Linked DNA regions of Macaca fascicularis. The protein of the gene in region 2 interacts with the protein of the main gene of each other region in a biochemical or structural test. Links are inferred from orthologs where the notes say so. Each region holds a gene or a part of one and is shown on either strand. Other genes may lie near its edges.

What was found.
Region 1: the proteins of LRP1 (region 2) and PLAT form a complex in vitro, tested with the Homo sapiens proteins (2 studies listed by BioGRID). The link is inferred for Macaca fascicularis from reciprocal best matches to the Homo sapiens genes LRP1 and PLAT.
Region 3: the proteins of LRP1 (region 2) and APOE form a complex in vitro, tested with the Homo sapiens proteins (2 studies listed by IntAct, with this or other methods). The link is inferred for Macaca fascicularis from reciprocal best matches to the Homo sapiens genes LRP1 and APOE.
Region 4: the proteins of LRP1 (region 2) and DAB1 form a complex in vitro, tested with the Homo sapiens proteins (2 studies listed by BioGRID). The link is inferred for Macaca fascicularis from reciprocal best matches to the Homo sapiens genes LRP1 and DAB1.

Annotation. Positions count from the first base shown.
Region 1 is NC_088382.1:45,723,244-45,728,998, forward strand, and holds the start of PLAT (tissue-type plasminogen activator), read right to left. Parts: upstream 3,947-5,755; 5' UTR 3,727-3,946; intron 1-3,726. UniProt on the Homo sapiens protein: Converts the abundant, but inactive, zymogen plasminogen to plasmin by hydrolyzing a single Arg-Val bond in plasminogen.
Region 2 is NC_088385.1:63,998,770-64,004,017, forward strand, and holds part of LRP1 (prolow-density lipoprotein receptor-related protein 1), read left to right. Parts: intron 1-528; coding exon 529-712; intron 713-855; coding exon 856-941; intron 942-1,101; coding exon 1,102-1,221; intron 1,222-1,715; coding exon 1,716-1,903; intron 1,904-2,024; coding exon 2,025-2,230; intron 2,231-2,748; coding exon 2,749-2,937; intron 2,938-3,405; coding exon 3,406-3,554; intron 3,555-3,969; coding exon 3,970-4,063; intron 4,064-4,217; coding exon 4,218-4,334; intron 4,335-4,552; coding exon 4,553-4,672; intron 4,673-5,016; coding exon 5,017-5,139; intron 5,140-5,248. UniProt on the Homo sapiens protein: Endocytic receptor involved in endocytosis and in phagocytosis of apoptotic cells. Required for early embryonic development. Involved in cellular lipid homeostasis.
Region 3 is NC_088393.1:52,937,407-52,943,442, reverse strand, and holds the start of APOE (apolipoprotein E), read right to left. Parts: upstream 3,947-6,036; 5' UTR 3,901-3,946; intron 3,130-3,900; 5' UTR 3,107-3,129; coding exon 3,064-3,106; intron 1,623-3,063; coding exon 1,430-1,622; intron 812-1,429; coding exon 94-811; 3' UTR 1-93. UniProt on the Homo sapiens protein: APOE is an apolipoprotein, a protein associating with lipid particles, that mainly functions in lipoprotein-mediated lipid transport between organs via the plasma and interstitial fluids.
Region 4 is NC_088375.1:176,440,506-176,446,440, forward strand, and holds the start of DAB1 (disabled homolog 1), read left to right. Parts: upstream 1-1,989; 5' UTR 1,990-2,250; intron 2,251-5,935. UniProt on the Homo sapiens protein: Signaling adapter of the reelin-mediated signaling pathway, which regulates the migration and differentiation of postmitotic neurons during brain development.

The DNA of each region.
Region 1 (5,755 bases), on a different chromosome or scaffold from region 2:
GCCTGCTGACATGCATTTTTAAATCCCCATACAAGATAATGATAGGTATTCAACATTGTTTTGACTATCTAAAAACTGAAAATAACTTATATGTCAAAAAATAGGGGCCTAGTAGACTAGGACATGTTAGAATAGTGCAATATTGTGTAACCATTGGGATGACTGGTAACATAATTATACCGACATATCAAAATCAGTCATAAAATTGCCCTGCCCAAAAGAAGAAGAAAATAAATTTGTACATGAGCTGTGATATAAATAATGTAGGTCAGGCATTGTGTGTCATGCCCATAATACCAGCCCTTTGGGAGGCTGAGGCAGGCAGATCACTTGAGGTCAGGAGTTTGAGACAAGCCTGGCCAACGTGGTGAAACCCCATTTCTACTAAAAATACAAAAATTAGCCAGTCTTGGTGGCGGGCACCTGTAATCCCAGCTACTCGGGAAGCTGAGGCAAGAGAATCACTTGAACCTGGGAGGTGGAGGTTGCAGTGAGCCAAGATTGTGCAACAAAAGTGAGACTCCATCTCAAAAAATAATAATAATGTAAACACTACATAGATGTATGGATAGAGATTAGAAGAGAAAATTAGATGTTGGAGTACTGTCATTATTGGTGAATTGTTTTTCAGTTCCTTTAGTGATGCTTCTAAATGGCTTTCATAAAAGTAGACGTACTGGCTCCACACTGGGTGACCAGCCCAACACTCTCTTTCTGGCCCTGGAAGGGCCTGGTTGTTCATGGAAGCATGTCAGAAGAATAGGAATTTTCCTTATTCCTTATGATGGAGTATCCATGAGTTTATTCAAATTATTTTTGAACACATCTCATTTTCAATCAATTCTTTTGTGGAGTGAGTTGAGTTTCTTAGGTTGGTTTGCTGATTCTTCAACACAGAACTTTCTCTGCTCCTAAATCTACCTCTTTTGAGCCTCCTAACACATCCCACATCCCCAGCTATCAATCTTCAAATAAACACCCCCCCCCCCCCCCCGCCAAACCCTGCCCCGAGCTGGTGAATATGCAGGCTACTGGAATGAGCCTGCGCCTGGAAGTCAAAAAGTTTCCTTTCTCTCCTCTGAGGTCAGTTGTGCGACTCTGGGCAAGTCCATTTGCCTTTGCTAAGCTATAGGTTCCTTGCGTTTCAGATAAGAGAAGTAAACTCACAGGATTATTATTTGACTCAAATAGGATACCATGGGAAGGAAAACGCTTTGGGACATGCTATTGGTGACTTAGTAAACTGTTTTATAAACATTTTTTGTAGCTTTGTTCTTTAGCTATATCCATCCTCAGAAGGAAAGAACTTTGCAAGGGAAAGCCTCATACTCTTTTCTCAAAGATGAAGAAAGGAACTTTAAAGAGCCCCTGACTAAAATTTTCTCCAACTGTCTCCTGAGCAACATAGGTCTCACACACGAAAAAGAACCAAGGCTACAAAGTTAAGAATTGGAGAATTCTCTCAGAGCAGTAATTTTTTTGACTATTTAGCTGATATGGTTTGGCTCTGTGTCCCCACCCAAATCTCACCTTTAACTGTAATCCCCATAATCCCTACGTGTCAAGGGCAGGACCAGGTGGAGGTAATTGGATCATGGGGGCGGTTTTCCTCAAGCTGTTCTAGTGATAATGAGTGAGTCTCACGAGTTCTAGTGGTCTTATTATTGTCTGGCATTTCCCCTGCTTGTGCTCATTCTCTCTTCTGCCGCCCTGTGAAGAGGTGCCTTCCTCCATGATTGTAAGTTTCCTGATGGTCTGCCAGCCATGGGGAACTGAGTCCATTAAACCTCTTTTCTTTATAAATTACCCAGTCTCGGGTATTTCTTTACAGCAGCATGAGAACGGACTAATACATTAGCCGAGTAAAATACATTTTTTAAATTCCCATACAAGATAATGATAGGTCTACAACTTTGTTTTGACTGTCTAAAAACTGAAAAACAATAGTAGTTTAAACAAAAAACAATATCACTGCACTAAGTAGAAGATAATAACAGGGGAAACTGCGGAGGGAAGAGAAGGGATAATAATAGGGGAACTCTGTGCTTCCTGTTCAATTTTTCTGTAAACCTGAAACTGCTCTAAGGAATGTCTATTAATTCAAAAAATATTGACAAGATGCAGTGGTTAACATCTATAATCCAAGCACTTTGGGAGGCCAAGACAGGAGGGTTCGCTTGAGTCCAGAAGTTTGAGACCAGTCTGGGCAACAGAGCAAGACCCTGACTCTGAGAAAATATTTTTTAAAAGTCATTCAGGGCTTGAATCTGGGAGGTGGAGGTTACTGTGAGCTGAGATCGTGCCATTGCACTCCAGGCTGGGCAACAAGAGCGAAACTCCGTCTCAAAAAAAAAAAAAAAGAAGAAGAAGAAGCCATTCAGGAGGCTGAGACAGGCAGACCACTTTAGCCCAGGATCCCAGGGCTGCAGTGAGCTATGATCATGCCACTGCAGTACAGCCTGGGCAACAGAGCAAGACCCCAAACTCTAAAAATTAAAAAAAAGAAAGTACTTGCAAATGAAAAATATTATCATTTCTGATATTATAAAATCATATCTATATTTATGTATGCATATTATACATAAGAATTTAATTTTATTTGCAGAAATATTTGGTCTGTGAGAACATTCACTGCCATCTGCTTATTTACATATCCAAGTATATCATAGCTAATGAATATAGGAATTTTATCACAGTCTTATAATTTTAAGGGTGTCTATGGTCAATCTGTTTGGTAAAATTGAGCTACTCTTTATTTAACTTAATTAATTTTGAGACAGGGTCTCACTCTGTTGCCCAGGCTGAAGTGTAGTGGCATGATCTTGGCTCACTGCAACCTCCACCTCCCCGGTTCAAGTGATTCTCTCACCTCAGCCTCCTGAGTAGCTGGGATTACAGGCACTACTTAGCCATGCCTGGCTATTTTTTTTTTTTTTTTTTTTTGATAGAGACAGGGTTTCACCATGTCGGCCAGGCTGGTCTCGAACTCCTGAACTCAAGTTATCTGCCTGCCTCAGCCTCCTAAAGTGCTGAGATTACAGGCATGAACAACTGTGCCCAGCCTACTCCCTATTTTAAACGTGCAAACTCTGCAAAGTGGCTGTGCTGAGGCACTTCCAAATGCCACCCGGCTGGTGCTGGAGTTTTGGTTTCTGCTCTATGGGTCCTTCTTCTTCTGGACCTGGTGCCACCAACCTTTGCAGCCTCCTATGGAGGATGGTGCTTGTTTCCTTTCAGCCTTTCTGGTCATTTCTTTTCTTGTTTTAAAATAACAACACCAGGTCAGGCGAGGTGGCTCACTCCTGTAATCCCAGCACTTTGGGAGGCCAAGGTGGGAGGATTCCTTGAGCCTAGAAGTTTGAGACCAGCTTGGGCAACATGGCGAGACCCCATCTCTACAAATAATTCAAAAATTAGGTGTGGTGGCACATGCCTGTAGTTCCAGCTACTTAGGAGGCTGAGGTGAAAGGATCCCTTGAGCCTGAAATGTTGAGGTTGCAGTGAGCTGTGATCGCATCACTGCACTCCAGCCTGGGAGACAGAGTGAAAGCCTGTCTCTAAAACTAAAAAATAAATAAATAAACAAACAAATAACACTGAAAATAACCAAAACCAAGTGAATATGGATAACTCAATTCCTTCTGACCCCAGGGTGACTCCAGAGTCCCAGGCCATGGCTGCGTCTGGGGTGGGCTCCTTTGGGAGAGTGGCCAAAGCCCTACTCACCTCAGTAATGAGATCACTCAGACCTGGGGGCAGGCGCGTTCCAGGAGAGCATGATGACTTCCGCAGCAGAGGCTCTTGCATCAGTTCTGGTCACCCACGGGAGACTGCATGTGCTCGGGGTGACAGGAACACCACTGTTTACGTGGGACCCACCTCCCGCCATGGCATCACAGGACTCGCCGCCCCGGCCTCCTTCCTGAGTCAAGCATTTTTGTCCAGTGAATACAGCTTTGGTGCAGCTTTCCGTATCTTCTCTCTCCTCCTCGCCACGGGAAGTGACACATATTTTATAGAGCTGTTCTTTTGCTTCATTCTAACTGTACATTTTTTCCTCTGTGAGGAGTTTGCGCCAATCGAAATGAACTTGAGATCATTTTCCCCCCAGCCTGTCTTTATCTAGGGGCACACAGCTTCCTGTCTGATTTTAGTCACCGATTGGATTGATGGGCTTAATCACATTCCAAATGTCCGTTGTCCTATCTCCCTGTGTGTGCAGGACTGGCTCAGTCTGCAGCTTTTATTAGAAATCAACAGAAGCCACCAGAACACAGAGCCCTGAATGAGCACTATGGACCCGAATCATCCGACCTGAACTCCAATGTAGAAGAAAGGCCCTCTGCACGCACCTGCTGACCTGCCTGTCACCACTCTCACAGCTGTGCCGGGACAATGGCACAGACCCACCCATTCCAAAGTTACCATCTGATATGTGTGGGCTCATGCAGAAAGTATGCTATAATGTGAAGACATAAATCAGATGGAAAAACACATTGATGCCAACTTGTTTTTTTTTTTTTTGAGACAGAGTCTTGCTCTGTCACCCTGGCTGGAGTGCAATGATGTGATCTCGGCTCACTGCAACCTCCGCCTCCCGAGTTCAAACGATTCTCCCGCCTCACCCTCCTGTGTAGCCCACTACCATGCCCGGCTAATTTTTGTGTTTTTAGTAGATATGGGGTTTCACCATATTGGCCATGCTGGTCTTGAACTCCTGACCTTAGGTGATCCACCCGCCTTGACCTCCCAAAGTGCTGGGATACAGGCTTGAGCCACTGTGCCCAATGCCAACTTTTAAAAAATGCACACTCCCTCAAAGGGTTAACAGCACAGGAGAGGTTGTTGCTGAAGGTTTGCAAGGTAATTGCTCTGAAATCATATTAGAAACCAAAGCAGTAAGTGTGCTTCCCCAGTAGAGAGTGTTGACAGGGACTTGGGTTTAGAATAAGAAGGAAAGAGTTTCCAGCATGTCAATGGGCACGGTGGCAATGGTTCACGATGGGTCATTGAGTCTAGGCTGACAGAGGGCAAAGGGCTGAAAGATAGGGAGGAGTAGCGCTGAGGAGCTGTGGAGACTCCAGGAGCAGGAGGCAGGGAGCTGGGAGGGCCATCACACACAGCTGTCCCCCTTAACCACAAGGATGTGTTCCAAGATCCCAATGGATGCCTGAATCCATGAGTAGTACCAAGCACTATATATAAAATGCTCTTCCCTATACATCCATACTTAGGATCAAGGTTAATGTGGCCGGGCGCGGTGGCTCATGCCTGTAATCCCAGCACTTTGGGAGGCCGAGGCAAGTGGATCACTTGAGGTCAGGAGTTCGAGATCAGCCTGGGCAACATGGTAAAACCCTGTCTCTACTAAAAATAAAAAACTTAGCCAGGTGTGGTGGCGTGTACCTGTAGTCCCAGCTACTCAGAAGACTGAGGCATGAGAATAACTTGAATCCAAGAGGCGAAGACTGAAGTGAGCCGAGATCGTGCCATTGCACTCCAGCCTGGGCGACAGAGGAACACCGTGTCTCAAAAAAAAATTAAAAAAAAAAAAAACAAACAAAAAAACATGGTTAATGTATAAATTAGGCGTGGCAACAGACTAACAACAACAACCAATAGTAAAATAGAACAATCATATCAAGGTACTATAATAAAAGTTATGTGACTGTGGTCTCTCTCTATATACCACTTTCTCAACTTATTATAGTTCTGAGCTGGGCACGGTGTGGCTCACACCTGTAATCCCAGCACT
Region 2 (5,248 bases):
TATACGGAGTGTGAGAGGAAAAGAGGAGTGAGGCGTCAAGTAGGCAAGAGATACACAGATCTGGAGTTCAAGGAGAGGCCCAGGTTGGAGAGGGAAGTCTGGGAGTTATCACCATAGAGATGCTATTTGGATCTATGAATCTGGATATGATTCCCAAGGGAGCAGTGTAGGTGGAGAAGAGAGCAGTCCAAAGTCTGAGCCCCAAGCTGAGCAACAGCCAGGAGCAGGGAGGTGAGGGGACCAGCAGAAGAGCCTGAGAAGGAGCAGCTGCTGAGGCAGGAGAACAGCCATGAGAAGAAAGCGTTTCCAGGGGGAGGGCACACGCAGCTCTGTCAAATGGCACTCGGGGGCGCACAGAAGGAGGCCTGGACTGCGAAGGCCAGACAGCCAGCTGGGTGGACTTAGTACCGATGTGCTGCTGCCCCTAATGAGGCCGGGTAGAAGGAATTGGAGTCTCTGAGCCAGGTCTCCAGGGTGGGAGGCCCAGACCCTGCCACACGCCCAGCCCAAGGCTCCCTGTGCCTGCAGTGCCGCTGTCGCCCTGGCTTCCGGCTGAAGGACGACGGCCGGACATGTGCCGATGTGGATGAGTGCAGCACCACCTTCCCCTGCAGCCAGCGCTGCATCAACACCCATGGCAGCTATAAGTGTCTGTGTGTGGAGGGCTACGCACCCCGCGGCGGCGACCCCCACAGCTGCAAGGCTGTGACTGGTGAGATTCACGCTTGGAGGGCATGAGGTGACCCAGGCAGCTGGGGGCTGTGTGGGACCGCCCGGGTGGCAGAGCTCCAGACAGGCAGGAGACCAGGGCCACTAGAATGTGCCAGGAGCTGAGGCAAGATCCTCTGTCTGCAGACGAGGAACCGTTTCTGATCTTTGCCAACCGGTACTACCTACGCAAGCTCAACCTGGATGGGTCCAACTACACGTTACTTAAGCAGGTACCAAACCCAGGCCTTCCTCCCCTTTGCCCATCTCCCAGACCCAGCACAGCCTCCCTTGCAAGTCTCCCCACTTAGGTCCAACCATCCCTCCCCCAGATGTAAATGTGGCCCCTGCTGCCACAACAGACTTCTGCTCTCCCTCATTCCCCTAATCCAGGGCCTGAACAATGCCGTTGCCTTGGACTTTGACTACCGAGAGCAAATGATCTACTGGACAGATGTGACGACCCAGGGCAGCATGATCCGAAGGATGCACCTTAATGGGAGCAACGTGCAGGTAAGGCAGGCGGCCCTCAGCGACCGACACTGGCCCACCCTAGATGGCTGTTTTCAGATCGTCTCTCCTTCCCGTCCCACCAACCCAAATTGCTTCCTTCTCACTCCACTAGTCACTGTATGACTGCTTGTTCTGGCTGCTTACTCTCCTCTGGGCCCAGACAGCAAGGACCAGGAGATTCCTCTTGCTCTTCCCCTCACTGCTAGCCCCACGTCTCCCTAATTATCAGGAAGTTCCCCCTGAGGTCTGGCCAAGCACTGTGAGGCTTGGAGTGTGGTCCCATTCCCCACCTAGAGCCCCCTCTCCTAGAGGCTCTGCTGACACGTACATAGTGTCAGGCCCAGGACTGGGCATTTTACTTCCATGGTTCTCCCACCAGAGCTGGCAGAGGGAGCTCTACCCCATTTTATGCATGGGGAGGCTGAGCTTCACAGAGGCTTGCAGGTCTTCCCCCAGGTCACCCAGAGCTCTCCCTCCCCTGCCCCTTCCTGCAGGTCCTACACCGTACAGGCCTCAGCAACCCCGACGGGCTGGCTGTGGACTGGGTGGGTGGCAACCTGTACTGGTGCGACAAAGGCCGGGACACCATTGAGGTGTCCAAGCTCAATGGGGCCTATCGGACGGTGCTGGTCAGCTCTGGCCTCCGCGAGCCCAGGGCTCTGGTGGTGGATGTGCAGAATGGGTATGTGGCTGAGGAGGGGTGGGGAAGCCCTTGAAAGCAGCATCCAAGCCCAGCCTCCCTGCAGGCCACTGGTGGGATGGGTTATGGGATCTCCCAGGGCTCACTGCCTACCCATCGCCAGGTACCTGTACTGGACAGACTGGGGTGACCACTCACTGATTGGCCGCATCGGCATGGATGGGTCCAGTCGCAGCGTCATTGTGGACACCAAGATCACATGGCCCAACGGCCTGACGCTGGACTATGTCACTGAGCGCATCTACTGGGCTGACGCCCGCGAGGACTACATTGAGTTTGCCAGCCTGGATGGCTCCAATCGCCACGTTGGTCAGTGTGCCAGTGAGGCTGTCCGGGCACAGCAGACTCGGTGGGGATGGAAGTCTGAAGCGACAGGGGATCAAGTTTTGGGGGCAAGAGTGGACATAAAAAGCAGAGGACAGGGCCTCAGGACACCACTCGCTGGGGTGTGAGGTTCAGAGCACCCCAGGGGCTTCCCCAGCCTGGCCACCACCCAGGGAGAGGCCCTTCCCTTATATACACAGTTCTGGAGGACTGGCCCCGAGGAGGGTGGGGGTGGGAGGCCTGCGATTGGGAGCTGCAGTGCTCCCCACTTCCCAAGGGAAACCATACGCTGGCGGGGCAGGAACTTGCCATGAGGCAGTCTAGGTTTGAACTCCAGCTCTGACACTTGTTAACTGTGAGACCATGGGGGGCCCCTGAACCATCTGGAACTGGGGCTGACACCCACCTCGCAGGGTGGTGGTGGGGCTTGAGGAGGTGGAGTGGGCTGGCACCCTGTCCGAGCTCAGGCTGACTGGCACCGTGCCTGCCCCTCGGCCCCACAGTGCTGAGCCAGGACATCCCGCACATCTTTGCACTGACCCTGTTTGAGGACTACGTCTACTGGACCGACTGGGAAACAAAGTCCATCAACCGAGCCCACAAGACCACGGGCACCAACAAAACGCTCCTCATCAGCACGCTGCACCGGCCCATGGACCTGCACGTCTTCCACGCCCTGCGCCAGCCGGACGGTGAGCAGGCAAGGGGTGGGAGCAGGTGAAGGGTGAGCTGGGAACTGGGGTCCCTGGGAGTTCCTGCTTATCCCTTCTCCAGCACTGACCAAGCCCTCTCCTGGCCAGACACTGGGAGACTCCAGGAGGGTCTAGACAGGGGATGGTTTGGCTCCCGGGAGCTTCAGCCAAGCCTGGATCCAGTCCTGGAATCTGGCAGCAGCAAGGCCCTGAGGCCAATCAAGTGGGGGGTCTGGGTGCCGGGCCCCCAGAAGGACCCTGGGGGGGAAGCACAGAGGAGGTGGGAGCTGGCCTTCAGGCCTGGCCTGATCCGGGGACCCTGAGAGAATCCTCTCCTGTCTCTGGCTTCAGCTCCCTCCTAAAAGAGGCAGAGTTTAGGCCACTCACCTCTGTCCAGGATGGAGTGATAGAGGCAGCCTTTGGTAAGGCAGGAAATGTCACCACATTTCACGACGTTTTCTCTGGCAGTGCCCAATCACCCCTGCAAGGTCAACAATGGTGGCTGCAGCAACCTGTGCCTGCTGTCCCCCGGGGGAGGGCACAAATGTGCCTGCCCCACCAACTTCTACCTGGGCAGCGATGGGCGCACCTGTGTGTCCAACTGCACAGCGAGCCAGGTGAGGCTGTCCCCCAGATCCCATCACCAGTGCCCACTCCCTGACCCCCAATCCTCCTTGGACCCCAACACCTGCTCTGTCCTAATGCCCTCACACATCTGGTTTTCCCACGCTAACACCCCCACATTTCTTGCCTACCTCTTGTCTCCCCACAGCAATACTTTTACCCCCGTCACCTCACACAGATACCTCCACACCCTAACCTTGACCCTCCTCGCCATGCTCCAGTGCTGCCTTCCCCACCCTACCCCACACAGCGCCACACCTGGCCTTTCTGCACTCACCATAGCCCAACCTGCCCCAGAACACCCTGACCCCTGCCTCAACTTCTTTGAAACATCCAACCCCCTCAAAAGAAGGACTTCTGAGTCTCCCAGATCCCCACCAACCCCTCTTGCCCCCGCCTGCCCTCCAGTTTGTGTGCAAGAACGACAAGTGCATCCCCTTCTGGTGGAAGTGTGACACCGAGGACGACTGCGGGGACCACTCAGATGAGCCCCCGGACTGCCGTGAGTGCCTGCTGGGGGTGACACAAGGGTCCCCAGCTGTGTCAGAGGCGGCCTGACTCCTGAGGCTTTGAATGGCCACTGGAGGCTGTGGCTGCAAGTGGACCTGGCCGTGTCCACCCCAGCCACTCTGACCCTGAGCCTCCCTCTCTGGCAGCCGAGTTCAAGTGCCGGCCCGGACAGTTCCAGTGCTCCACAGGCATCTGCACAAACCCTGCCTTCATCTGCGATGGAGACAATGACTGCCAGGACAACAGTGACGAGGCCAACTGTGGTAAAGCACTGCCTGGCCGCCCTCCCTCCTTCCCCAGCATCTTCCCCGCCCCAGGATTTGGGGCTCTCAAGGACAGGGAAGCTGCAGCCCATGGCAGCTTGCTCTCTAGGCTGGATTCCTGCGGCTCAAGCCTTTGTCCTCCCTGCTGAGGGATGGGCACCCTCTCCCTGCCCCTGAATCCTCCCTTCGCCACGAGTCACTCCGTCCTCCCCCCACAGACATCCACGTCTGCTTGCCCAGTCAGTTCAAATGTACCAACACCAACCGCTGTATTCCCGGCATCTTCCGCTGCAACGGGCAGGACAACTGCGGAGACGGGGAGGACGAGAGGGACTGCCGTGAGTGCCAGAGGTGGTGGTGGGGCAGCGGTGGGAGATGACATGGAAGCAGGGCAGGCAGAATCCCCCCCACAGCTTTGAGAGGCTCTCAAATAGCTTTAGTAGATGGGCAACACAAATTATATTGGGTGTAACTTGCTTTGCTCATAAAAATCACCACGCGTGATATAGAGACATAGAGATCCAGAAAACAAAAAGCACCAAAACTGGGGGTAAACTGTTCCTTCCTCCCAAGAAGTTGCTGGCAGGACCAAGGCCAGGGCTTGGAAGAGGGAGAAGGTGGTGATGGTGAATTGGAGTGGCAGGTGTAAGGGAGGGCCCTCATTCTCTTGCCCGCCCCGCAGCCGAGGTGACCTGCGCTCCCAACCAGTTCCAGTGCTCCATTACCAAACGGTGCATCCCCCGGGTCTGGGTCTGCGACCGGGACAATGACTGTGTGGATGGCAGTGATGAGCCCGCCAACTGCAGTGAGTTGCCTGGCCTGGAGCCCAGCTTCCCTCCCCAGTGTCTGCTACTCACACCACCCCAACGTGCGACCCCCTCAGTGGCCACTCCCAGGCCCTCCCCACCCTCCTG
Region 3 (6,036 bases), on a different chromosome or scaffold from region 2:
CGGCTGGGGCGGGGACAGGGTCTCCCGCTGCAGGCTGAGCGGAGAGAGGAGGCATGGGGTGGAGTCGGGTCGCATGGCTGTAGGCCTGGGCGTTCAGTGATTGTCGCTGGGCACAGGGGCGGTGCTGGCGCCCACGGCAGCCTGCACCTTCTCCACCAGCCCAGCCCACTGGCGCTGCATATCTTCCACCAGGGGCTCGAACCAGCTCTTGAGGCGGGCCTGGAAGGCCTCGGCCTGCAGGCTTATCTGCTGGGCCTGTTCCTCCAGCTTGGCGCGCACCTCCGCCACCTGCTCCTTCACCTCGTCCAGGCGGTCGCGGGTCCGGCTGCCCATCTCCTCCATCCGTGCGCGAAGCCGCTCACCCAAGGCCTGGGCCCGCTCCTGAAGCGGCTGGCTGGCCAGGGAGCCCACAGTGGCGGCCCGCACGCGGCCCTGCTCCACCAGGGGTCCCAGGCGCTCGCGGATGGCGCTGACCCCGCGCTCGGCGCCCTCGCGGGCCCCGGCCTGATACACTGCCAGGCGCTTCTGCAGGTCATCAGCATCGCGGAGGAGCCGCTTGCGCAGCTTGCGCAGGTGGGAGGCGAGGCGCGCCCGCAGCTCCTCGGTACTCTGGCCCAGCATGGCCTGCACCTCGCTGCGGTACTGCACCAGGCGGCTGCGCACGTCCTCCATGTCGGCACCCAGCCGGGCCTGCGCCGCCTGCAGCTCCTTGGACAGCCGTGCCCGCGTCTCCTCCGCCACCGGGCTCAGCTGTTCCTCCAGTTCCGATTTGTAGGCCTTCAACTCCTTCATGGTCTCGTCCATCAGCGTCCTGCAGCCGAAAGAGCAGGAGGGTGTGCGCACAGGGGGAGGCGAGAAGGGCTGGGATAGGTGTGGGTGAGATGGGGATCAGCCAGAGAGACCCGAGAAGGAAGAGAGGAGAGTCTCCTAAGGAGAACAGGGAGAGACAGAAGGGCAGTGAACCAAGAGAGAAGGAAGGGGACAGAGGCAGAGAGGAGACAAAGACAGACGCAGAGAGCAGAGGCAGAGACGAAGAAAGAGCTAGGAGGCCGGGCAAGGTGGCTCATGTCTCTATTCCCAGCACTTTGGGAGGCGAGGTGGGAGGATCGCTTGAGCCCAGAAGTTCAAGACCAGCCTGGGCAACACAGTGAGACCCCATCTCTCTGTCTCTATATAAAAGAGCTAGTGAAGGACAGAGACAGAGCCAGGACGAGTGTGAGAGGCTGAGTCAGAAGGGAAGAGGGAGAAACAGAACTGAGAGAGAGAATTCCAGAGAGCTAAAGCCAGGAGTCAGAAATGGGAAGAGGAAGCTAGAACCAGCAGAGACCCAGGACTCCCAAGACTTAGTGGCAGGGGCAGAATGAAACCTGGACCTGGGGAGGTATAGCCGCCCACCAGAAGGGTCAAGGGCCGGGATGGGGACACTCACGTCAGTTCCTGGGTGACCTGGGGGCTGAGCAGCTCCTCCTGCACCTGCTCAGACAGTGTCTGCACCCAGCGCAGGTAATCCCAAAAGCGACCCAGTGCCAGCTCCCAGGGCTGGCCGCTCTGCCCCTCAGCCTGCTGGCGAAGCTCGGGTTCCGTCTCTGGCTCCACCGGTTGCTCCACCTTGGCCTGGCATCCTGTGTGGAACAAGTTGAAGGTGGTTCAGGTTCCTTCTGACCCCGTCCAGGCACCTAGTACCTAGGGGCACACAGAAGGTGCTCCACAAATGCTGCTTTGGAGCCATGGTGGGCAGGGTGAGGGGGGAGTCTGTTTAATCACTTGAAAAGCGTTATTTATTTACAGACAGGGTCTTGCTCTGTCACCCAGGCTGGATTGCAGTGGCCTGAACGTGGTTCACTGCAACCTTGACCTTCTGGGCTCAAGCAATCCTCCTGCCTCAGCCTCCTGAGTAGCTGGGACCACAGGTGTGTGGCACCAGGCCTGGCTAATTTTTGTATTTTTAGTAGAGACAGAGTCTCACTATGTTGCCGAGTCTGGTGTTGAACTCCTGGGCTCAAGTGATCCTCCCACCTTGGCCTCCCAAAATGCTGGGATTACAGGGGTGAGCCACCGTGCCTAGCGGAAAAGCATGTATTGAGTGTCCTTGTGTGTCCCAGGCAGGGCTGTGTGGGGTGATGGAGAATAAAGATCACAGCTGTCCCGTGTCTGGTATTCTAAAGCAATGCATTAGAAGCCTCTTAACTCCCAGCTGGGCGCGGTGGCCCACGCCTGTAATCCCAGCACTTTGGGAGGTTGAAGCAGGCAGATCACCTGAGGTCAGGAGTTCCAGACCAGCCTGGCCAACATGGTGAAACCCCGTCTCTACTAAAAATACAAAAAAAGTTAGTCAGGTGTGGTGGCATGTTCCTGTAGTCCCAGCTACTCCGGAGGCTGAGGCAGGAGAATGGCATGAACCTGGGAGGGGGAGCTTGCAGTGAGCTGAGATCCTGCCACTGAACTCCAGCCTGGGAGCCACCGCACTCCAGCCTGGGCGACAGAGGGACTTCATCTCAAAACAAAACAAAAACAAACAAAAACTTCTAACTCCTATATTAAGGATGGGGAGGCCGGGCGCGGTGGCTCACGCCTGTAATTCCAGCACTTTGGGAGGCCAAGGCGGGCAGATCACGAGGTCAGGAGATAGAGACCATCCTGGATAATACAGTGAAACCCCTTCTCTACTCAAAGTACAAAAAATTAGCCGGGCATGGTGGCGGGCGCCTGTAGTCCCAGCTACTCGGGAGGCTGAGGCGGGAGAATAGCGTGAACCCGGGAGGCGGAGCTTGCAGTGAGCTGAGATTGTGCCACTGCACTCCAGCCGGGGCGACAGAGTGAGACTCTGGCTCAAAAAAAAAAAAAAAAAAAAGCGGGGGCAGGAAACCGAGGCTCACAGAGCGTCAAATCGCTGTTCTGAGCCAGAAAGCAGCATAGAAGCCTCAGACCTGGGCTTTCCCCTCAAGGGGAAGACAGACCAGCAGAAGAAGAGGGGGCCCGAGGTCTGCCTGAATGGGGCCAGGAGGTTGAGGTGAGGATGAGAGGGGGAGGAGCAGGGAAACCGAGCAAGCCCCGCCCCCATACCTGCCAGGAATGTGACCAGCAACGCAGCCCACAGAACCTTCATCTTCCTGCCTGTGATTGGCCAGTCTGGGGAGGGAGAAACAGTCAATCAACCGCCAGTGAGGACTCCTCCCACTCCCAGCCCGACCCCAACCCGGCCCCACCCCAGGTTAGCCTTCCAAGCCTAGTTCCATTATCTGCAACAGCCTAATCCTAGCACAAACAGTTACCAAGCCGCCCCCAACCCATTCCCTATTTAACTCCCTCCTGGTCTTCTCTTATTTCCCCATCCCCAGGTCGGCCTCCATAGTCAAAATTCCATCTTTCTCTCCCGGGGTTCAAATTCCACACCCCCTCCCCCTCCCCACCGCCGGTTCCATCTCAGTCCCAGTCTCGCATTCCTCATTCTCCCTTCACATTCTAAGCTCTAACCTCACATTTAAGCGCCGTTTTCCATTTATGAGCTAATTCAGTCCTCATTTTAAAGTTCTCCAATCGACGGCTAGCTACCGTGTCGCTGCCCCTGGCTTCCCTGTTATGGAGATCTGAGGACACTGGGGACACCCAGTAGGTGCTCGATAAATGACAGTGACAACTCGTGGGGGTCCTGCTGTGGCTTAGCTCCTAGTCCACATGCTCTGCCCACCCCACCTTCTAGCGGGTCGGGTCGTCTCTGCTGCCCAGCCCTTACCAGGTCCAGTCCCCTGCTGCTGGCCTCACCCCCGCTCCTCCTATCCCCAAGCCCGACCTCGAGTAGCTCTCCTGAGACTACCTGGAGGCCAGGGCTTCCCGAGGTCCCAGCTACATCTTTCTAGAGGCGCCTGAGCTCATCCCCGTGCCCCCGACTGCGCTTCTCACCGGCTCCTGGGGAAGGACGTCCTTCACCTCCGCTGGGGCTGAGTAGGACTCAAGGATCCCAGACTTGTCCAATTATAGGGCTCCCCCTGTCCCGCCCCCTCCTCCAGGGATAGGGCGGGCTGGGCCAGCCCCCAGTCACGAGGTGGGCTGTTCTCCCCCTGCCCCAGGCACAGCAGGGCAGAGGGAGGAGGTGGGGCATAGAGGCCTTTTGACCACCCCCCACAGTCCCCAGGAAGTGAGGACACCTCGCCCAGTAATCCAGACACCCTCCTCCATTCTGGGGGCCAAGCGTGGAAGGGGAATGTGCAGGCTGCCGCCCAGAGTCCTCCTTCCCTGACCCTGTCCTTTCCTGTGCCTGGATGAATGCAATCTGGAGAGGGGGCTGGGGATCTGGACTCCTAGATCCCAGAAAGAAAGTAGGGATAGGGGGCTGGACAGAAGTGGGATGGGAGGGGCTGGGCGCGGTAGCTCACGCCTGTAATCCCAGCACTTTGGGAGGCCACGGTGGGCGGAACACTTAAGGTCAGGAGTTTGAGACCAGCCTGGCCAACATGGTGAAACCCCATCACTACTAAAAATACAAAAATTAGCCAGGCGTGGTGGCGGGCGCATGTAATCCTAGCTACTTGGGAGGCTGAGGCAGGAGAATCACTTGAACCCAGGAGGTGGAAGTTACAGTGAGCCGAAGTCTCGCCACTGCACTCCAGCCTGAGCAAGAGTGATGCTTTCTAAAAAGAAAAACAAAAAAAGAAAAAGAAAAAAGAAAAGAAAGTGGGGCTAGGCGACTGGACAGAAGTGGGATGGGAGGGGGGTGGGAACAGTGTGGTGCATCTGCTAAAAGTCTAGGCTTTGCGAGTGGGACCTGGGTTTTAATCATAGCTTCCTCTTTGGTTGTGACCTTGAGCACAGGGGACCCACCCCTCCCCACGTGTAAAATGAGATTCCAGCACCTCCCCCTGGCTGCCACAGGCATTGTGGTTTCCAGGGTCTTGAAGCTGTGCTTCTGGGTTAAGGTTAGGATTCTGGAGTCAAACTGCCAGGGCTTGAATCCTGACTCTGCCAGTTGCCAGCTGTGTGACCTTGGGCAAATGACTTGTCCTCTCTGAGCATCGGGTTCCTTTGCTCATCAGACTGGGAAAGCAGTGACACGGATATGTTTGGTGACAAGCTAACGTGTATGGAGCACGGAGGACAGCCTTGGCACAGTGGTCCTGTTAGGGCTAGCAATGGACAGGCCGCAGTGAGCGCTCAGATGCTGTCCCTTTCCTAACAGCCCTGTTATAAATCCCAGATGTTTCAGAGGAGAAACCCGCGGTTCAGCAGCGAGATGAATGGCAAAGTCACACATCGAGAACTGGAGTGGGTGGGATCAGAGGATTCTGCGAGTCAGGGGAGGCTGGACTCCTGGTCCCGGTAAGGAACCCCCAGTGCCAGGCCGGGCCTGTTTGCTTTGGCTGGCAGGGGGTGGCTGAGGTAGCTTCTGTGGGTAACTTGGGGTCAGCTCTACTCAGCAGCCTCCCTCCCTAGACCCTGGGGGTAGACAGGGTTTCAGTTCCCGGAGGCTCGGGAGTGGTGCTGGTGGTGTTGGGTGTCAGCTGACACCAGCCCTAGGTTGGCAAAATCCAGACAGCACCACATCCTCAGACATAGGTGACCCAACCCCCATGGCTGCACAAGGAGCCTAGTCTGGCCTAGGCCCCTCCTCTCATGCCTGCAAGTCCTTGAGCCCCTTCTTCCCGACACAGCAGTTCCTAGTACCCTAGTTGTTCTGAAGCTGTTCCAGTAGCTTGAACCTTCTCCCAGCTCCCTGCCCCCCCATGTCTGCACTCAGAGTGTGTCATCTCTGCTGCTGCAGTTTGCAGGGACAAAGTCTTCTATAGCCACTCCGGCCAGGTCAAGCTGGGGCGAGTGACCTTGAGACCCTACCCTCGGACGACAGAAGGCCCGAGGTGTCCCCCAGCAGGGAAGATGTTCCGGATGGGGAGACCGCGATCCCGGGCCACGCTGCGCCCCTCTGAGCCGGACTCAATGCAGCGTCAAGCCAGGCAGTGGTGCGGCTCCGCTGCTTTCCGTGCTCCGGCCCTCTGGCGCCCCCTGCAGGCGGCCGGGGGAAGGTCAGGGCGGCCGGACTCTGGA
Region 4 (5,935 bases), on a different chromosome or scaffold from region 2:
CTGGCTCTACACATCCCCCAACAGCTCTGTTTTCCTTTCTATTTTTATACCTTGAGTGGTTTATATGATGATGTCCTGCATGCTTCAAACTAGATGAGGGTGGCAGACAGAAAAAAATCGAAAGGACCTAAACAAAATGAAAATCGTTCCTGCTCGAAATGTTTCCTGCTTGAGAAAAAGACAGATGTGTTCAGGGGCTGGCATTACAAATGCAAGCATCCCAGATGCTGAGAGAAGCTCTTCGTGGATTCAACAAACAGGCAACCCCTGCCTGATCCTGGACAGGACAGAAGGGTTGTAGGAGCACTCCAGAGGCTCCTTGAAAACCTGAAAGTAGAGAAATGTTGAACATGAAATTAATGGTCATTTAGCCCCTTAGGTGCTTTCCTTGTCACATTTCATCCTCACAATAATTTTATGAGAATATATATGTTATTATTTATATTTTCCAGTTAAGGAAAAGGATACTCAGAGAGTGGTAGGAGAAACTCATACCCAGGCTTCCAGGGTAGCTGTGCAGTGGCCTTTTTCCTAGTGGAACTACAGGCAGAGGGGAAGTTGTTGTGGTTGTGGAGGTCAGGGACTTGAAAGGGACTTTTATTCAGCACTGTGGGACACTCTGATTGGATCCTCTCCTTCCACTCATGCCCCCTTCAGTACATTCTCTGCACAGCAGCTGGAGTGAGCTTTTACAAATAAAAATCACACTGTCTCCAATCCTGTAACTGTGACATCTCTATTTAACCCCCAAAACTCCAAACTTGGCATCAAATCAATTTCCCTTACTGATCTTTCCCCATAAGACCAGCTTCCCTCTGCACCTAATCTCATGTCACCAACTCATCACTCTTGCTACATTCTAGCCACACTTCCTTCCTCCTGCTATTCAAACACATTCAACCTGTTCCTTCTTCAGGGCCTTGGCACTTGTTCTCACTATTTCTAATGACTGGTTCCTTATCATACAGACCTCAGATCAGTGGTCATGTGCTTAGAGGGCTGTTTCCCAAACGCCCAGCCTGATGTCCTACCCCAGTCATTTTCTATCACATGTCGTCATCTACTTAAATTTTGGTCAATAGTGATAATTACTATCCAATAGCTTCTTGCTGATTTACTTGTTTATTTTCCGCCTTACTAGAGAGCAGGTTACAAGAGAATAAAAATTACTTGTCTGTGTTCTTTTGAATGTTCTGCCCGTCTCCATAAAGTAGAGGTTGGCTCATAGTAAGCACACAAAAATATTTATTGATGAGTGAATTGTTACTGATATATAATTACCTCAAGAAGGGCAGACCTGCGTCAGATGAAGGAAGAAAAACTCATGTTTTGCTATCACTTACCATGTGTCAAGCTCTGTGCTTGTCTCATGTGATTATCACAATTCTATGAGACATATGGTTCCCATTTTGTAGATGAAGAAATGGAAGCTCAATCATTTGGTCGTTTGATAAGACCACACAGATACAACCGAAACCCTGGTCTGTCTGCTTCAGTGCCCACACACTTGATTGTGGGGTGTGCATAACATGTCTCAGGGGTTTATGTACCTGCAGGAGAGTGTGTGTCTGCTGCTGCAAAATCTTGCACCTGTGAACACCGCAAGAAGGAGGAGGCTGTGTAAAAGCACATGCAGGCCAAGACCCTAGAGGCAGCTCAGAGAGGGCTCTCCCTAGTAAATCACTTTTGCTTAACCCGAAGCCCATACTTCCCAGGGGAGCAGACACTGAGCACCGCAAACGGTGAAGACTGCAGAATGGCTGCAAGTTGTAGACCTCACTGTGACCGTAGCAGAGAAGGGAGTCTGCGAGTGGGTGCTGAGGTCCTTCCCACTCAGAGCTCACATTCAGGCCAGGTCGGTCAGGCCGCGCCACCTCTTCGGGCAACAGCATTCCGCGCTAGGTAGCGAAATGCTGAGGGGCTCCCCTATTCGGGGGAATGCGGTAGTGATGTATAAGGTATGAAAGATGTGGCCTGCAGAGAGCCGGCACTATCTCTACTGCTGCTGCTGCTGCTTCTGCTGTTGCTGCCGCTGCCTCTGCTGCCACCACCACTACTGCTGCCAGCGGAGCTGCTGGGAGTGAGCATCCCCTCTCCGGGATACCCAGCTCCGCGGCATCTCCCGCGCGCCCTGGCCCCACACGGACCTGCCAGCCCCAGGGAACAAAAGCGGAGCCCGCTCGTCCTCTACTGCAGCCGGAGGATGAGTCGAGAGGGCTGAGCGGAGAGTGTGGTCCTCGGCGGCTGGAGGTAGGAAAAGATGTTGCGCCCGCCGCGGCGTGGGAGGCTCGAGGTGGGCGCGCCGGGGTAGGGGCGGCCGCGGGGGCCCATCCGTCCAGTGGGCGCTGCCCGCACCCGGCGAGGTGGTGGTCTGCAACGCTGCGCCCGCACTGCCCACTGTGGGTTGGGCGCCGCGGTCTCGCGGCCGCGAGAGAGCCTCCTGGGTGGGAACTGGAGGCAGCAGGGGAAAAGTCTGGAGCCAGAAGCCAGGCAACGGCTGCCGCGGCGGCTGCGGAGGGCTGCCCGCGGCGCTTGGCGGCGCGCGTCTCACCGCGCAGAGTGGGCAGGCGGCGGCTGCAGTGTGCGCAAAGTTTTGGGTGGCGCGCAAAGGCGCAGGCGAGGGCTGCCGCACCGAGCCGGCCAAGTTGTGGCCGGAGCGCCAGGGCGACCCTCGGGCTTCCCCCACCACGCGGAATCGCCCGAGCCAAGCGGCTCTTGCTCCCTGACACCCCAGCTGAGGCCGAGTTGACGCGCAGCCATTTAACCCTTTCTGTTCCGAGGAAACAACTTCATCCGCGTCGACGACTGGACTCGGGCTAGCTGGGTAGCCTTGAGGTTCCCGGCAGGTTCAGTCCTTCTGTGATCTTGCGCATTTCCTCGCTCAGTCCGCGTTTTCATTTCTTTTTTGTCCACTTCTGTATCTAGAAACCAGGCAAGCTGGCCAGGGGTCTTACCCAAAGTCTGTAATTTTAACCCTCGCGCCATCTGGACGCATGCTTTCTTTCTGCCCTCTCAGCTTGGCTCTTTGATGCTGCTTTGAAAAATAAGATGATTAATCAATTAGGTTAGTGGCCAATTAGGCATAACCTTGTAGGAAAATAATTATGCCCGGCTCTCTGGGCTTTCACTGATGATGAGGTGGGAATCCAGCCCAGGTGGAGGGGCTGTTCCGAAAAGATAGGGCTGATCAGGGAATTTCTGAGAATTTAAGATTAAAAAGATCCAACTATGTGGTGGTGGCTGAGGTTGTGGGGGTGCAGTAGGAGTTTGTGTGTGTGTGTACCAATTTTTGCCGATAAAATTAACCCTTGGCAGCACAGTATGGGTGGACTTTGCAGGCAGCCTGTTTCGAACAGCTCAGAAAAGGTGTGTCCCCTTGCTTTCCAAGCCCCCTCCTCTCCTCTCTTTCAGAGGGGCTCTTGCCTGTAAATCGCCTTGCTGTGTTTTTGCTTCCGCTTTGGGAGGCTGAGTTCCAATGAATGCATTTTAGTTTCGTGTCCGAGGAATCGCGTCGTTGCAGACCGAGGTTCCTTACTGTGCCTTCCGAGGATGCACATTTCCCGTGATCATGTTAAATACAGCGGTTATTAAATGGGTGCAAAAGAAAGACAATCTGTTTCCAGGCCTGGGAAGTTCTGCTGCAGAGCGGGGCTTCCTTTTGCTTTTGGAATGACTGGTGGGGTTTGGCACTGCAGTATTACAATACAGCCATATTAAAAAGGTCTTCAGAGCTTGGAGCCCTCTACCACTGCAGCCCCATCTTCCACACACTTCCCTGCCCAAATCCTTCGTGCAGGGAACATGTAGTGAATTTCGTACCTGCACCATGTGCATTTGAACCTCTTTCTGTCTCTATTTTAAGCTGCTTCTATCTCTTTATACATTCGGATGCTAGATAGTAGATTTCTGTTAAGATTCTGTTCAAAATCTAGAGGTGTTCCCAGGGCAGAGGGATTTTTGCAACAGGTCCTAGGTCTGGGTTTTCTAATAATAGATCTCCCTGGCATTTAGTGACATGGGGCCCCAGTCTCTCCACCAGTGACCTGACAAGGGTTGGACCAAGGGATCTCTGAAATCCCCTGCAGTGCTGACATTAGCTGGTTCTGAATTTTATGGCTTTTTCTTTTTCTCAGCTGAGCGGAAGGAGTAGCTGGAGCAGTACACGCAATGTGACAGCAACAGTGCCACCTCGCTCCTAGTGGAAAGGAATGGGGGCTGGCCAGGGCTTATTGGCAAATAGGGATTTCCCAGCTGGAAGACTGCCTGGTGATACTGGTGTGCAGGGACAACTGGGAGCCACAGGATTCACCCGCCTCCCTCAAAATGAATGGCCACCATTCAGCACTCTCTCTTTGACAAGATTTTTCTTTTCTTGAATCTGGACTCAGCTAGTTGCCTTACAGTGACCACATTTGTGGATCAGATTCTTGTGCAAGCAAAAGCCTTGCTCCTTTTTAAAAATGGAATCTTTTGTACATACCGGGAAGGGATGCAGAGTGAGAATAGAGGGAGAGAAGAAAGAAGAGAGGGGAAGAGGCAAAGGAAGGAGTGAGTGGGGGGCAGAGCTAAGAGATATAGAGAGACAGAGATAGCTTAAGTCTTCAAATGCAACCAGACAGTGGGAAAGAGGAAGCAGAGACAGAGAACTAGGTTGGGGGTTGGGGGTTGGGGAGGTTGGTGGTGAGGAGAAGAAGGGAGAGATGCAGGAAGGGAAAGAAAAGCAGCGAGGGAAATACTAGCCCTAAGAGGGAGCGATTAGAGCCCACATGAAGCAAGACCAGTCTTACCATCTAGCTTAGAAAAAATGTAAAGGAAAATCTCAAACTGCACAGGACACATTCCAGGTAGACTTGCAGCCTGGAACTTAGCTTTGACATAATAAGGCAATTATTTATGAAATACACATTGTACCACAGAAAGTCATGAACTCGTTTTCTCCATTCATCCATGACTGGAGACTCCAGTTGCTGGTGTGGTGTTGGTGCTGGGAGGGGAGCTGTTTGCCTAGCAGACGTGCTTTGTATAACCTGGAGAGTGTGCTCTTGCTTGGATCAAGTTGGGTACTCCATTTGGACAGACTGGGTTTCTCAACAACTTTGGAGGAGGTGTTTTTTGTTGTTGTTGTTTTGAGACCTGTCTTCCATCGAATGGACAACTTTTACAATCATGTATCATTTATTTATTTATTTAACCTGGGCGGGGGGGAATGAAAAATGAATAGTAAACACCCTTACATGCCACCCAGAACTAGCAGTGATGACAAAATGATTTCAATTAATTTTCTCCTCTCCAGCCTCCTTGCCCCTGTTCTGGCCCATCCTCAGAGCCTCCCAGCTCATCTCCTGGCCTTCAGTATGGGCCCTTCCACAGATGTGACACATCTTTCTAGAACATGGCTTTGATCATGTTACTCCCAGGTCAAAAACATAAAGTGCTCCCTATTGCCCAAGGCATACTGTTCAAATTCCTGACTCTGGACTTCAAGACCTTTCACTATCTAGCAGTCTTACTCCCTCCTCATGTTCTTGTGACACACAACACACACACATGCTCACACCATACACCCACACTACCCTCACACCCACACACCTACACATGCACATACACACACACCTTCTCACACAGAATCACACACACCCTCACATACATGCATACACATTACATTCACACCACTCACACACAGTTTCACACATTCATAAATACAAACAGCCCGCACATACACACAGCATCGCACACAGCCTTCTATACATATACACAGCATTAGACATGCCTTCACACACATATACACAGCATTATACTTACATCACTCACTACCATACTCACACATGCACACCTACCCACACACAACATCACATGCAGCCTCAAACACACTCATGTTTATGCACTTACACACTCATGCCACACATCTATGCACTTACATCTATGCACTTACACA